4 linked regions of the Schizosaccharomyces pombe genome follow. The main gene of each other region encodes a partner of the protein of the gene in region 3 in a complex. Each region holds a gene or a part of one and is shown on either strand. Other genes may lie near its edges. The genes, in order: use1, sft1, sec20 and bos1.

Region 1 (3,302 bases), 500 kb from region 3:
ACATTTCCAAAAACGATCTTCGTGAAAAATTGGGTCAAATGTACAAGACTGATGCAAGTGCTGTCCAGGCATTTGGTCTTCGTACCCATTATGGTGGTGGAAGAACCACTGGTTTTGCATTGATTTACGACGACGTCGAGGCCATGAAGAAGTTTGAGCCCCATTATCGTCTTGTCCGTGTTGGACATGCCGAGCCTATCCAAAAGGTTGCTCGTCAACAACGCAAGCAACGTAAGAACAGAGGCAAGAAGGTCTTTGGTACTGGCAAGCGTCTTGCCAAGCGCAAGTCTAAGCAACAAGACTAGGCAATCTTATTTTTTCTTGGTTCAGAAAAATAATTTTCATAAAGTAATGAGATGTATTCACTTGATGGAAATGCATTGTTGTATTCGAACGGATTTAATTACGTGTTGCCTAAAATAATATTGTTCAGCTTTCGTGTGAACAGTAGTGAATGAAGTAAATAATCTTCAATAACTAGAGTTTGATCTCTAATATAATAATTTTTGAACATGCGGTATATGTTGTATTTTATGATAGTTTAATAGTTTTGTAATGTAATGATGTTGTTTCTTATTTACTAAAAACATAAGAGTTGAGGGCAGTGTCAATTGATAAAGGAATGGGCTAATATTGACTCAGCTGTTGGAAAAAGGTTAAATGAAATAAAACAATGGTAAATTGCGTATGCTTTGGTTATTCAATTTACTTATATCATCTACGCATTGATCTCAAATACAAAAAAAACATGAATACGTTCGAGTAAGAAAACAACTTGAAACAACAATAATGGTTGTGTATCAAAATGTATATTAAAAAGAAACGGGTGTACTGTTACCACTGCGATAACTTAAGGGGAAAAAAATTTATCAACAAAAGGAAGCAGTCCGAGAATTCTTTACGAAAATAAAATAATTAATTTTGATTTTTGGTAAACTGTAGGATAAAGATCATCACGATAAAAGAAACAACTACAGCAATGATCATTCCTAACTGTAGCCAAAAAGACAGCCTTTTTGACTTAGAGTAGCTTTGAACACCGTGGTTGGCATGTCTCAGACTGTGGGCATTCTTGTCGAGTAAGCTTCCTGTACGCTCTACCACTTGATTATCAGTTACTAGAGCATTTGTGAAAGATAAAGCGTTTTCTTTTAGAACAGATGCCAAATGCAAAAGTGACTCAGATATCTCAGTTTGCATTGAACGCTGGTTTGTGAGCAATTGGGCATTGGAAGCTTCGACATTCGACATCTGTTGTCGCTCTCTAAGCTCCCTTTCTTGAATACTCTGAAGAGCATGCGCGATCTCCTTCTCTTGTTTACTTTTTATCTTTTTCTCTTCAATTTTCAGCTTTTTTTCCATGGTAACATTTAAATCATAAATCCTACCCTGTAAATCCATGATTCTCTTCGAAAGCCCTTGAGGTTCAGCAACTTTGTCAAGTTGGCATTTTCCTTCTTCCCATAATAATTTCCTTGCATAATCAAGATTCTTTTCAAATTTTAAAAGTTCCAATGGGTCTTGAAACTCATCACGTTTCAACTTGAATTGTCGCTCCAACCTACTGATCAAATCTTTACTCATTTTAAAGCCTATGGAGTGAGCATTTCATAAGAATATCTCTCTCCTATAAAGAAAGTTATGTAAAGCGCTTTAAACTGGGGTTCCTGATATTTTATAAGTAGTTTGAGTTGAGTAGGTTATCAGGTGCATGTCATCTTATACACATACTAATTTTCACCTTGTATGAGTATTTTGGGTTTCAGAGTAGACGATTATAGTATTTTATATATTATTCATTTATAAGGATGTACTAACATTTAATTAAAACCGTATTTCTCTTTGAATACGTATTTTTGTACCAAGTGCCTTGACTATAAAATGCTATTTTAATCTCAATCTAATGAAGTATGAGAAGCTTAATAATCCTTATGTTAAAAGAATTGCATGAACCGTAATGCCTTAACTTAAAGGTGTCAATAAACATTAGCGTATTTACCTTACTATATATTTCAAGTCATGGAGGATATATGTTGTAAATAAACTTGACAGAATCTTTAAAAACGCAAGGATCTTGAGTTGCATTCCTTGCCATTGCATTGGCAAATTTTGAAATAACACTTATAGTACGCAAAGACGACCAGGCTGCCTTCGTGTTAGATTTTTGATAAAGCGATCTTTCTTCTTATTTAAATAAGCACTGCTAAAGACTACATACCTTGTAACTCCATTTGTCGTTATTTCAATTTATTCAGACCGGATGTTTTCCTGAATTGAAAATTAAACAAAATTGCAGTCTAACTCTTTAATTATTTGATCAGAGGATTTGTGATTTCTTTAGAATCTCTCATAATTTTATTTTAAACAACTTAATTTATTAAATTTCTAATGTTTGTTTATTCTGTGTTTAGCATTCCACCAGGTTAACCAGTTGTCTACTCTTCTAACAGTGATAATTCTTACCGTCAGGCGAATTCAGCACCTTTGCAAGAGCAAGCTCTGTGTAATAATAATTTATAAACTTTAGCTACTTTTAATTATATAGCCACTGAAAAGGCTTCAATTGCCTGAAATTCTCGTCTAAAAATCAAGTTCAGAGGGATTACTATGCAAAATGGTAAAAGACGTATTGGAGTCCGAATTTCTTCCAATTTGAGCAATCATTCCGGGACTAATCTTTCTACTAGTGCTCAAAGTGATTCTTCAAATATCGTTAAAGCCACTGAATGCCCAATTTGTGGGCTGGAATTACCAAATTTGTCAGCATTAAATGATCATCTCGATGTTACTCATTTCAATGATAATGAAAAAATCCACAAGCGACAAGATTCCATTAATTCATGGCTAACAAGGACTTTAAATGGTGCTTCAGCTCTGCAAATGAAAGCCGCTCAACGTCTTTGGAGAATGGAACCATATGAACAGAATGGGGATTCATCAGGTGCTGTCGGCCTTGAAGCAACTAAGCTCACAGATTCCTTGGTTGTCAAAAATCACTGGCAACCAGAGGTTCCTGACATGGTCTGCCATGACCCGATGTGTGATAAGCTTTTAAATTTCATCAATGGTCATATTCATTGTCGTAAATGCGGTTATATCTTCTGCAACTTTCACTCAATGTACCAGATCAAACTCAGTATTCATGCTACCTACGACTCTGAAAATGGATTTTGGTGTCGTGTTTGTCGAGAATGTTATGAAGGACGTCCTGGGTATAATGATTCAAATGGTTTAATTCGCTCACGTTTTCAAACATTCGAAACTTTTCGAAAACCTTTAGCTGATAAAAGAAGAATAGAGTT
Region 2 (2,849 bases), 3.7 Mb from region 3:
TCGGGTATAAGCCCATCTCACAGTAGTGCTTCTTTAGCTCATCTTTCTCAAGCCTCCAATCCAAATGGATCGTCTTCTGCCCCGCATAGGCCCACATCAGCTCGTGTAGGAAGTCACCGAAACGCACTAGACGCTTTAAGACGGGCGCGTATGCTTCCATCTGGATTTTCAAGAAGAAATTGAAGTTTTGAGCACTATTTTTAAATTTTTGCGCAAACATCGGAAAAAGAGTATTCATTACCTGTACTTCCGTACATTTGAATGCTGTGTTCTTAAAAAAGCCTAAATCAATACAAACATCTCATGGTCTGCATGCACAAAGCTTGAACGTGAAGCTAAGGTGTTAAAATTTTTATTATTATTTATTTTTGTGCCCTTCCTTTTGATCTTTTTTTTTTTTTTTTTGCCGGTTGAAGGTGAATGAATACTTAGTTTGTGGCACAATGTCATGATTCTATTCAATTAGTACTGCGTCTCTTTGCTTAAAACTCTTTCCTAAAAGTGAGGAATATCAAGCTTAATATGGATATACAGTCATAATTAAATTTTTTATTATTTTTACTTTTATGGTGGACTTATTGAAATTTCGAGGAAGGAGTAGTATTTCGTTAAGAATATTTCATGTAATTCTGCGCTTATATTTTCAAATTTATCTTCAGAATATTCATCGATAAATTTATTGCCTATAAGAATTCAAAGCTTGTACATTTTATAATTTTGAAGCAGGAGGTTATGTCATTATATCCGTTCCTTTATGTAGCATTCGCTTTCATGTCGTGTTAAAAAAACCATTTGGATGCATAGTAGATTATTAGTATACTCCCTACGATTGCCAGCACCATTGTCATGATTCTTCGTCGTCCGGCACTTCGAACCACACGGAAGAAATTTTCGGTGGATTTTTTAACAGAATTTGAAAGTCCTGAAAAGCTTTCAGTCTATAATAATACAGGTTAGGTAAAAACTCAAATTTTTTTTTTTAAATTACATACAGCCCGATCAATTCGAGTATAGTCATTGGCACGGGAATAAATATCGTAGGTTACGTTTTTCAAAGAAGAAACCTGCCCAGACAGAGTTTCCAAACGCCGCTCATTTTGATCATTCATTATAGAAATAACTTTTACAAAAATGAATGTACATACGTTAGCATCTTTCTATATCACTTGGAGTACTACCAAAATTTAACGACATTTAGGACGTGGTGATAAATCCTTTAACGAATCTCCTAACTTGATTCTATTTTCGTCGAGCTCAAACATAATGTTATCTACAATTCTTAGCATCAGCCGCCTAATTATTGCTTTATCAAATGCCAATATCGATCGGACTACTTATTAGTAGGTAAATGGTTTGGAAGTTCATCGTTTCCATCCATTTTTAATGAGCAGTAGGATCCGTTCTTTAACATCTGAGTTATTTGAGGAATTGCTATTCATCGCTAAGTCAAAACATATAATATATTTGTATAGGTACTCGCTACCAAAATATTTGGATCCATTACTGTTTCCTGTTTCCAAGTAAAAGGGTTTATTTATCCGCTGCGTTTTAGACTCAGGACACACTATCTTTCTGCAATACTTTTGAACCTGAATTCATTCAATAAATTGAATTCGACATCATATAATATAAATTTTTATTTTTTACGTTTGAATTGGATTTTTTGTTTATAATTGCATTGTTTTAAGAGATTAATAATTCATTTATTGTTCTCATGAGTGTTCGGAAACGGTACAAGGTTACTTATGTTCTTGATTCCTGTAACGATCAACTAGGGCACCGTTTGGATGCTAATTGTCTAGTGCTAGGTCGGTACTTTTCAGAACAAGGGTCAGCACCAGTTACTAGAGCACTTTACAGTGGTGGCCGAGATGGACAGCTTTTCGGTTGGGACATCGGGTATGATTATGGTAAAGCTTCCCAGCCCTTAGCCAAAATCCAGGCTCATTCTGCTTGGGTAAATGATATAGCTTTAACACATGATTCCGAAGGAGGTAAGCCTTTGAAAAATTTAATTATCTCTGGAGAATAGCGGTAGCCTTATAGAAATTGACGTTCTAACATTTATTAGTGATATCTTGTTCTTCTGATTCAACGGTGAAACTCTGGAAGCCACATGTCTTGAATGCTTCTTGTTTATCAACAATTGGCGAGCATACCGACTACGTAAAGCGCGTAAGCATTCCCAAATATTCCAAGAGTCCGTTAGTCGCTTCGGGTGGGTTGGATAAAAGGATAATTGTATGGGACTACAACGTAGGTCAAGAAGTTATGCGATTTGAACAGTTACCTGACTGTTCTCTTGTTGTTGGTCCAAGATCTGGTGTTTACTCGCTGGCAGCGAATAACAACATAATTGCTAACGGCGGACTACAAAAAGACATTCAGTTATGGGATTGTGTTTCCAAGAAAAGGATTACAGATTTAGTCGGTCATACTGACAATGTTCGAGATATTCTAATTAGTGATGATGGCAGAACAATTCTCACAGCCTCTTCAGACGCTACAATAAAGCTTTGGTCTCTAAGGGCGCAAAAATGTTTATTCTCTTTCATAGCTCATTCAGACAGTGTATGGGCATTATATTCTGAGCACCCAGATTTAAAAGTATTTTATGCTGGTGATCGCTCAGGCTTGATTACTCGTACTGATATAAGAAACCAGCCTAACAACCAAAGCTGTACTGCAATATGCAAGCAGGATGCTCCTGTCTCTGACATTGTTGCTCGTCAATCTTTCATATGGAGTACTAGTCGTGATGGCTCCATTCTTCGTTGGAAGGATGAGCCCCTCTTTAATCAGGACGTGGGAGCAGCATTATCTAAGCATACCTCATCTCATCTTTCTGT
Region 3 (3,410 bases):
GGTTAAAGACAAGTTGTTGTGAGACATCGCGGGGCATGTGCCTTAATTTATATCGTTATGCTTACGTGCTTGTAAACACTATATTACGCATTTGAAGTAGAAAGCACACAAACAAATAGAACCAGGACACTGAATAATTAGAACGTTTGGTTAATGAATTTTTACATAAGCAGTTATTAGTTTTAAGTTTATAGGTTTAATGGAGTTTGCTATCCGATCTCAGATTCTAGGCGTTCGTACCGGACCCTAGAAAATATGCGACAGACTTAACAAGATGCGTTTCCCAATTAACAAGCGCTCTAGTTTTTATTAGGAATTCAAAGAATACTGCTCTTTTTGTACTGTGGTCAAACAAATGGTTTTGACAATCAAAGAGGCATATACAATAAGAATGATTTGAAATGCAGCTGCATGCCGACTGTCGCATATTTCGTGAGCAAGAACTCATTTTGTTTACGGAATGGCGTTTCCCATTGAGTTACAAATACTATAGCATTACTATCATCAGCAAACTTCTACGCCATTCAACGTTTTTATTTAAAGAGAACAACACGTAAATAAAAACCAATCGTATAAGATAAACATTAAAACATAAGAACTACTTTACAAAGACTTTTTCAAAATAAAATTGAGAAAAAGGGCGAAAAAATAATTTCTCGTATAGATACTTCGAGCTCGATGGGAACGAGCCTCAAAAAGCCTTGCTTTTAATCTCGCCTTTCTTTTTAATAAACAATGCATTTTCAAAATCTCACCGAAGAAACCAAAGAAACATAGAAAGAATAGGCCAGACAATTCGCTTGAAGAGAAGATAGACAACCACAAATATGAAGAACCCAAATCCCGAGACGACTAAAAAGTAATCACTTCGATCACTTAATTTGAGCGATTTGATTATCCGTTTACTTGTATATAAAACGTCCTCTACACCAAAATATTTCTCTTGTAGAGTTTCTAACAAGTTGGTACTCGAAGACAACTCCATTGCATTTTCGGCACTCATATCCACTGCCTGTACCATTTGTGCGTGAATATCACGCATAGCCGCCGTGACCTGACTGGCGCTTGTAAGATAAATATCATCAGATTGCCACGAACCAGAGTTATCCATTGAACGCTTTTGAAGAGAACCATCACTTGGTGAGGTAATTTCCTCTTCATCTACAATCTTACCTATTTCTTGTGCGATAGGCAACCATGGTTCACCACTAGCAATCTTATTCCGATATCTTCTGTTCAACCGAATGTATTCTTGTACAGCCTTTTCATATCGTAGAACTGAGTCTAGCTGAATGGATGAGTATTCAAGCTCTACCCTTGCAGTTTCCCATATTTTTCTAAACTCTCGAAAATGCCTTTTAATAACTTCAACGCTTTCTGACTGTTGTAATTCAACAACTTTTTCTTCTAGTGCATTCAGAACGTCGGCCATCGAATGCTATGTTCTCTGCTTTATTGAACAAGTTAAAGGAGAAATAGTATTATGAGATGCAAGAGGAAAGAACGATAAAGGTAAATGATGATGAGTGGGAAACGAATGATGGATGCACTAACAATATAGCACAGCTGAAGGTGAATATAAGACTATACATCGAAAGGTTCGGTATATAGAATAAGGAAAAGAAATCAAATGCGGAATTATAAATAACGAGAAATAAAGATGCTAAGAGAGAGAAAGAGACAATAAAGATAGAAGGCAATAAGGTGAAATAAATTAGAAAGTGTAAATGGTAAAGGGAATATTGTATCGATCTTTAATAAAAAGTCGAAAACCACAGAAATGTTACTATGCACGCAACTGTAGAATGAAGCAACCTTTCATTCTAGTTCAAACGACGCTAGACACAAGTCGGTGTCTTTTTTGTTCAAAAATATTATACATATTCTGGGGTGAAAAGAAAAAATTTGATAAACTTCCATTTGCTTTATGATTGTTCATTAGCCAAAGGATGTTCAACGATTTCACCAACTTTTGCCTTATAACCCACAGGCAACGCTTGCAGGAGTAAGCGTACATCTTCAATTTTTTTGTTTTCCAACTCTTTACGAAATGCTTCATCTTGACGAGGATCGAGATGTTGTTTCATAGCTTCGCGAGCATCTTCACGTATCCATAATGGTTCGTCGCTCAACTCAACCATATATTGACAACTTTTTAGAAAGCAATCCTTCGAGCAATAATAGTTGAGTCCACCGTAGACCTTCATTCCTGAATCTTCTAATTTATACCTAGTTTGCTGCTTAGGTTCATAAGGACAAACGGGATAACCGCACAGATTGACGAGTTTACGCTCCTTCACCACTTGATCGTAATCACTTTTTCGAAGGTATTTACGAGCTTCCTCTAAAGTTTCTAGGGAAACCGGATCAACCAGCTTTTCAATCCATTCGAGGGCAAAAAAATCATACTGAAGTCGACTGCGTGCTTCATCTATAAGACTCTTCGACCACGTGATCAATTGCTTTTCTTGAGTGCTTTGAGCATTTTTCGGCTTTTTGAGAATTGATTTTTTGTTCATATCTGAATTGGATATATTGGAGTCAGCTGGAAAACAGAAGGTCTTAAAAATCGCTATTAGGCAGATATGAGTCAGTCAAGCATTGGAAGGAGGAATGAGCATCGTAAAAATACTTTAGCGCCGTGCAATTTTTGTTAAAGAGTTCTTGAGTTACGCAATTCATTTACAGCGAACTAAGACAGTGCGTTGGCCTTGGTACTAAAAATTTTGATAGAAATTACCCTCTCAGTTGAGTGTGGACAAAGGAAAAAAAATAAAGAAAAGCATGCGTTGCACCAATCATGTAAAGAAAGTTTTGTAGGTCTCTTTAAGAAAATCATTTTACCGTTAAAAATAATAATGATAAATTTACATCCACCCTATTCATATCTTCCACTAGTAAATAACTGGTCCTTAATCTTAATGATTCATATCCATATCCATACCATACCCCACACCCACACAGTAATCGTAAATATAGCAAACCAACGATGCTGTGGCTTCGTTTTAGGATTGCTAGTGTATCCTTATGTAAAATAGGAAACCAGATCCAATTGCGTAAATATTATTATAACGTTAAATAACAAAAACCAATCAACATTGATAAGCAAAATAATACCCAATAATCTTACAGTGCATTACGCTACCTTTGGCTAGTCGAACGAATCACTGTCAACAAGATGTTACGATTGGAAGGGAATTCCCCAGATCCTTTCCCCACAATGTTCATTCATTGAAAATCGTCTCACATGTAGTCAGTCGCTTCTTCACGTGCGATATTATCATTTGGGTGTTTATTGCTGTTAAGATTGACCAAACTTCTTTGTCTGCACAAATCGCGTGCCCTTTAGGAACCAAAATGACAGTGTACTGGCTTAGATATCCTAATAGAAGAGATTAACGATGACGTTC
Region 4 (3,907 bases), 2.2 Mb from region 3:
CGCTTTTCAAAATCTAAAGAAACATCATTAAACCTTCGACGGTTACTTATAGGAACGTATTCCAAATGTGTAAAATAGTATACACCTCCTCCTGCAATAAGAGCACCAAAAATCCATTGAAACCTCTTGTCTCTAGGATTGGGCTGAAATGATTTATATACCACTCTGTTTCTATTGGACCAACTCAAGTTGTTGCTTTGAAATCTTGCCTGTAATAAACCATTGAAATTTCGATAACTACATTTCTTGTATGATAGAACTGGAGCGCAGCTCACAGCCCTGGTTCTGGAATAGTTTGATATATACTTATTTAAAAACATTAAATAATTCTTATAGGAATTACTAAATATTGGCGCTAGATATTTAAAAAGATGAGAATGGAGGATAGTTTGGTGTATTATGGTATACGAAAGGATAATCGCTAACGATATTAATTTTAACAAACGTGTCTCGAGTTTCTTTAGTAAAAGTTAACTTCATCCAATACAGTTATTACAATATATATGGTACAAAATTAATATATATGAATACAAATTTCAATTGGCTTTCGACAAATTCTTAAGTTGCATTGAAAACGGTTGACAATAAAAATAGTGTAAAACAGTCGTCAACTAACGGTTCGTGATGACAATTAGTTTTAGTCTATTTTATTATTTTTAATACATAGCTTAACTGAGCAAATTACGAAGAAACTAAGGAAAAAAAACTATTGCCCATTGGTAAGTTAATTTTCTCTTGGATATTAAAATAAAATGAAATGGAATCACAATTGAAGCATTTCAAAGCAACCGCCTGAAGAGAAGGTGTTTTAGTCAAGCATTACCGCAACGGTATTAATTGATTGACAAACTAAGGATTTAAAAAAACACAAAGAAAGAATTAGATTTAAAAGGCCCATAAGTGCGTGATTAGTGGAATGTCATAAACAGAAGGAAAAAAACACAACAGTAATAGCTTGCAAGGAGAAGCTAACAAGTGCAAAATGTATAGCTTATTTTTAAAAATAATTAATAAAAAATTTAACTCTCAAGAAGCTCTTCAAATTTTTTAATCATCTTTGATTTTGTTGTACTGCCCCATATCATATAAGAATAGTAAATTTAAACAAGCCAACGACATGAACATGTTAGCGTAACCACCTGTAAATCAAGTAAAAGAGGACAAATACAAGGAATGCTCCACAATAAAATATAATCTTGTCTTGTTTGGACCTACGGTTGATTAAAGATAGAGTATGGCGAGTAATGCCAAGGGTATTGGCGGCATTCAGTACTTTTGTCTTAGTAGCTTTTAAAACGCTTCCCTGCTCAACTAAATCACCAAGAATCATCCGCCCACGTTCTAGAAATTCGTCAACTTGAGATTCTGCACGACCAAGGAAATCATGCTCCTTTAATAAACCATCTTGTCTGCTTAGATCTGATGGCCCTTCCACAATTTCTGCATCCGTTGTTGAATTTCCGTAGGGACTATCAAGAGAGTTCACATACCCACGCCTCCCTAACAATTCTTTTCTATTTTTTGCTTGCGCAATGTCACGAACGTGTGCCTTCAACTCATCAAATTTTTCCAACAACTGAACATGCTTTTGACGGAACTCTTGGATTCGTATTGTAGCTTTTTTTTTTTTAGCGGGAACCAATTCCCTTTGGACCATACTATCGTAGTCATCAATGGATCTGGATAATGACAGAAATGAAGCTGAGATCTGGCCTAAATTGATTTGCATTAGTCTCATGAATAACTTGGTTAAAATAAGTACCATAATTATTCATCTACACATACCCTGAATTCCAGCTAACGATATAGTGTTGCTCTCATCTTGAACACCACGTTCTAACTCATCGAGGCTTCGCTGAATGGACTGAAACAACTTTGTACACTAGCGAAATACAAATTAATATGTTTTCTAAAACTTTAGGAAGTTACATACGTGATTATAAAGAGTATTGCTCATTCTCTTGCCGTAGTTGGTTCCAATATGAGGGTAATTTATTTTCTTGTCTTTGATATGACAACACATGTAGCAAGTAACACGTTACTTGAATGCTATATCAAAATTGTAAATAGCTTAAAGTAGCAATTTATTTCTATACATTGTAAATACAGTTTTATAAAAAAGAATGCGTTTTTTTACCCAAAATTCATATTAAATGTAAATCACTATTGAGTTCAATTGTATTTTGTTGAACCCCATTTGAAAAATCTAATAATTCCATTCGTAATAACGAAATGTATACAATATCAAAAAGCGAAATTTTATAGGGGTCGTGTCTGATGCCAGCATTCAATTCGTTATGAAAGACGACGACGCCTAGAAGAATGTCCCGATGAACGTGGACGAGCTCGGGGCTTTTTCCAATAATATTGTTTATGTACACGACGTGAGGATCTTACTGGTCTCATTAATGGAGCATATCTCATACGCCGTTCTAAATCATCATCCACATCTGGGTTATAAAACCATTCACTCCACAATGGATCACCATTAGCATCAGTTCCGTAACGTTTAACCTCTTCAAAGTAGGGGTGCTTGGCTGCCAAGTCTCGAAGCTTGTCCTGAATTAATTGAAGTGGCATATTGGAAGGAAATAAATGCGAAAGTGCAGGAAGGGGAGTAGTTGAAGTTGTTGAGAAAACCAATTCATCTAAAACCAATCCTAATAATAAGCTATCGGGAGCTGAATTTTCTTTTGTTGATTCTGAGTAATCATGGCTAGAAGGGAGGGATTCATTACTGTCATTAGTGTTCTCATCAACAGCAGAGATGCTTTCGTAGTCTTCAGGTTCCTTCTTTTCCACAACTGCTGAACTCAATTCAGGAGCCATTGGCTCAACTTCGTTCACTGGGGAATCATTTGAAGTTGTAATATTAGAATTCTTTGAGTCATCATTATGGTTTGTAAAATTAAGTTCAGAGATAACGTCCGTTAGTCCAGCGGACGATTCATCAATTTGTATAACGCTATCCCGTCTTACTGTTATAGGCTCTTTTGACTCTTCAATTGGAGTGTATTCTTCACCTTCACTAATTTCCTCATTTTTATCAAGATCATCACTCTCGATTTTTTCGTTCTCAAAAGAAACCTTAACTTCTCTTAAAACGATGTTATTATCATCAGTGCCATTGAGTAAATCGTCGGTGTTCTTTGGGAGAAAAGATGGTTTTAATTGTGTATTTTTGGAACAATCAGACTTTTCCACCTGACCATCTTTTTCTAAGGCAAGAAGCTTTTGTAACAAATCTTTGGATGGAGGAGGATATACTAATTCGTTACTACGCAAGTTTAGCTTAGGAATGGATTCGGAATTAGTGTACAATATGAGATGATTCTGATCGTTTTGATAGTCTTGAGAAGGAGGTGATGAAGGCATCAAAGGTAAAGCTTCTTGAGGTGAAGGAGACATAGGTTCACGATTTTCTTCATAATTTTTAGCATTAAGATTTCCTTCCCATTCATCTTCAGAATCACTTGGCCAACCAAGAAGAACTCGGTAACCGAATACATCCAGTACAGGACAAGCATCCGAATTCGGTCTTACCAGGACAATCCGATCATTTTTCTTCATGTGGAATACTGACTTCCTCATTTTATCAGACACAATCATCCCATTCCAACCCACGCACTCAATAATCATGCGGTCTTGTGTACAAGTTACAATAGCATGTACACGAGAAATTGCTTTATCAACCGTGGATAGGACATGGTCACATTGTTGACTAGAACGGCCAATTTTATTAACGCGATGTGAACGCATCCGTACAAAAGACATTGGAGAAAGTGGCTCTCTTCTCACTGCAGAAGCAGGCGAAGAGGGGGCATAGAATGTATTACTAGATGGCTCAGGCGTGAGGACGAATTGGCCTAAATTAATATTAGTAAAAGTTAGATTCAAGTCAATTGGT

The links.
Region 1: sec20 (region 3) and use1 share a complex: the UniProt entries of both Schizosaccharomyces pombe proteins name them as parts of the SNARE complex.
Region 2: sec20 (region 3) and sft1 share a complex: the UniProt entries of both Schizosaccharomyces pombe proteins name them as parts of the SNARE complex.
Region 4: sec20 (region 3) and bos1 share a complex: the UniProt entries of both Schizosaccharomyces pombe proteins name them as parts of the SNARE complex.

Annotation. Positions count from the first base shown.
Region 1 is NC_003424.3:3,599,272-3,602,573, forward strand, and holds use1 (SNARE protein Use1), read right to left. Parts: upstream 1,694-3,302; 5' UTR 1,585-1,693; coding exon 916-1,584; 3' UTR 558-915; downstream 1-557. Other genes in the region: rps2401 (40S ribosomal protein eS24), read left to right, coding at 1-305; FYVE tethering component Pep7, read left to right, coding at 2,608-3,302. UniProt on the Schizosaccharomyces pombe protein: SNARE required for targeting and fusion of Golgi-derived retrograde transport vesicles with the ER.
Region 2 is NC_003424.3:413,692-416,540, forward strand, and holds sft1 (SNARE protein Sft1), read right to left. Parts: upstream 1,149-2,849; 5' UTR 1,110-1,148; coding exon 993-1,109; intron 939-992; coding exon 780-938; 3' UTR 554-779; downstream 1-553. Other genes in the region: rod1 (arrestin/PY protein 1), read left to right, coding at 1-183; bun107 (WD repeat-containing protein), read left to right, coding at 1,715-1,994, 2,072-2,849. UniProt on the Schizosaccharomyces pombe protein: Vesicle SNARE required for retrograde transport within the Golgi complex.
Region 3 is NC_003424.3:4,103,191-4,106,600, forward strand, and holds sec20 (SNARE protein Sec20), read right to left. Parts: upstream 1,529-3,410; 5' UTR 1,433-1,528; coding exon 752-1,432; 3' UTR 543-751; downstream 1-542. Other genes in the region: RNA polymerase II CTD phosphatase Rtr1, read right to left, coding at 1,926-2,519. UniProt on the Schizosaccharomyces pombe protein: SNARE required for targeting and fusion of Golgi-derived retrograde transport vesicles with the ER.
Region 4 is NC_003424.3:1,923,152-1,927,058, reverse strand, and holds bos1 (SNARE protein Bos1), read right to left. Parts: upstream 1,979-3,907; 5' UTR 1,958-1,978; coding exon 1,934-1,957; intron 1,893-1,933; exon of another isoform or gene 1,883-1,892; coding exon 1,786-1,882; exon of another isoform or gene 1,714-1,785; coding exon 1,127-1,713; 3' UTR 520-1,126; downstream 1-519. Other genes in the region: metallopeptidase Oma1, read right to left, coding at 1-320; tos4 (transcription factor), read right to left, coding at 2,296-3,866. UniProt on the Schizosaccharomyces pombe protein: SNARE required for targeting and fusion of ER-derived transport vesicles with the Golgi complex.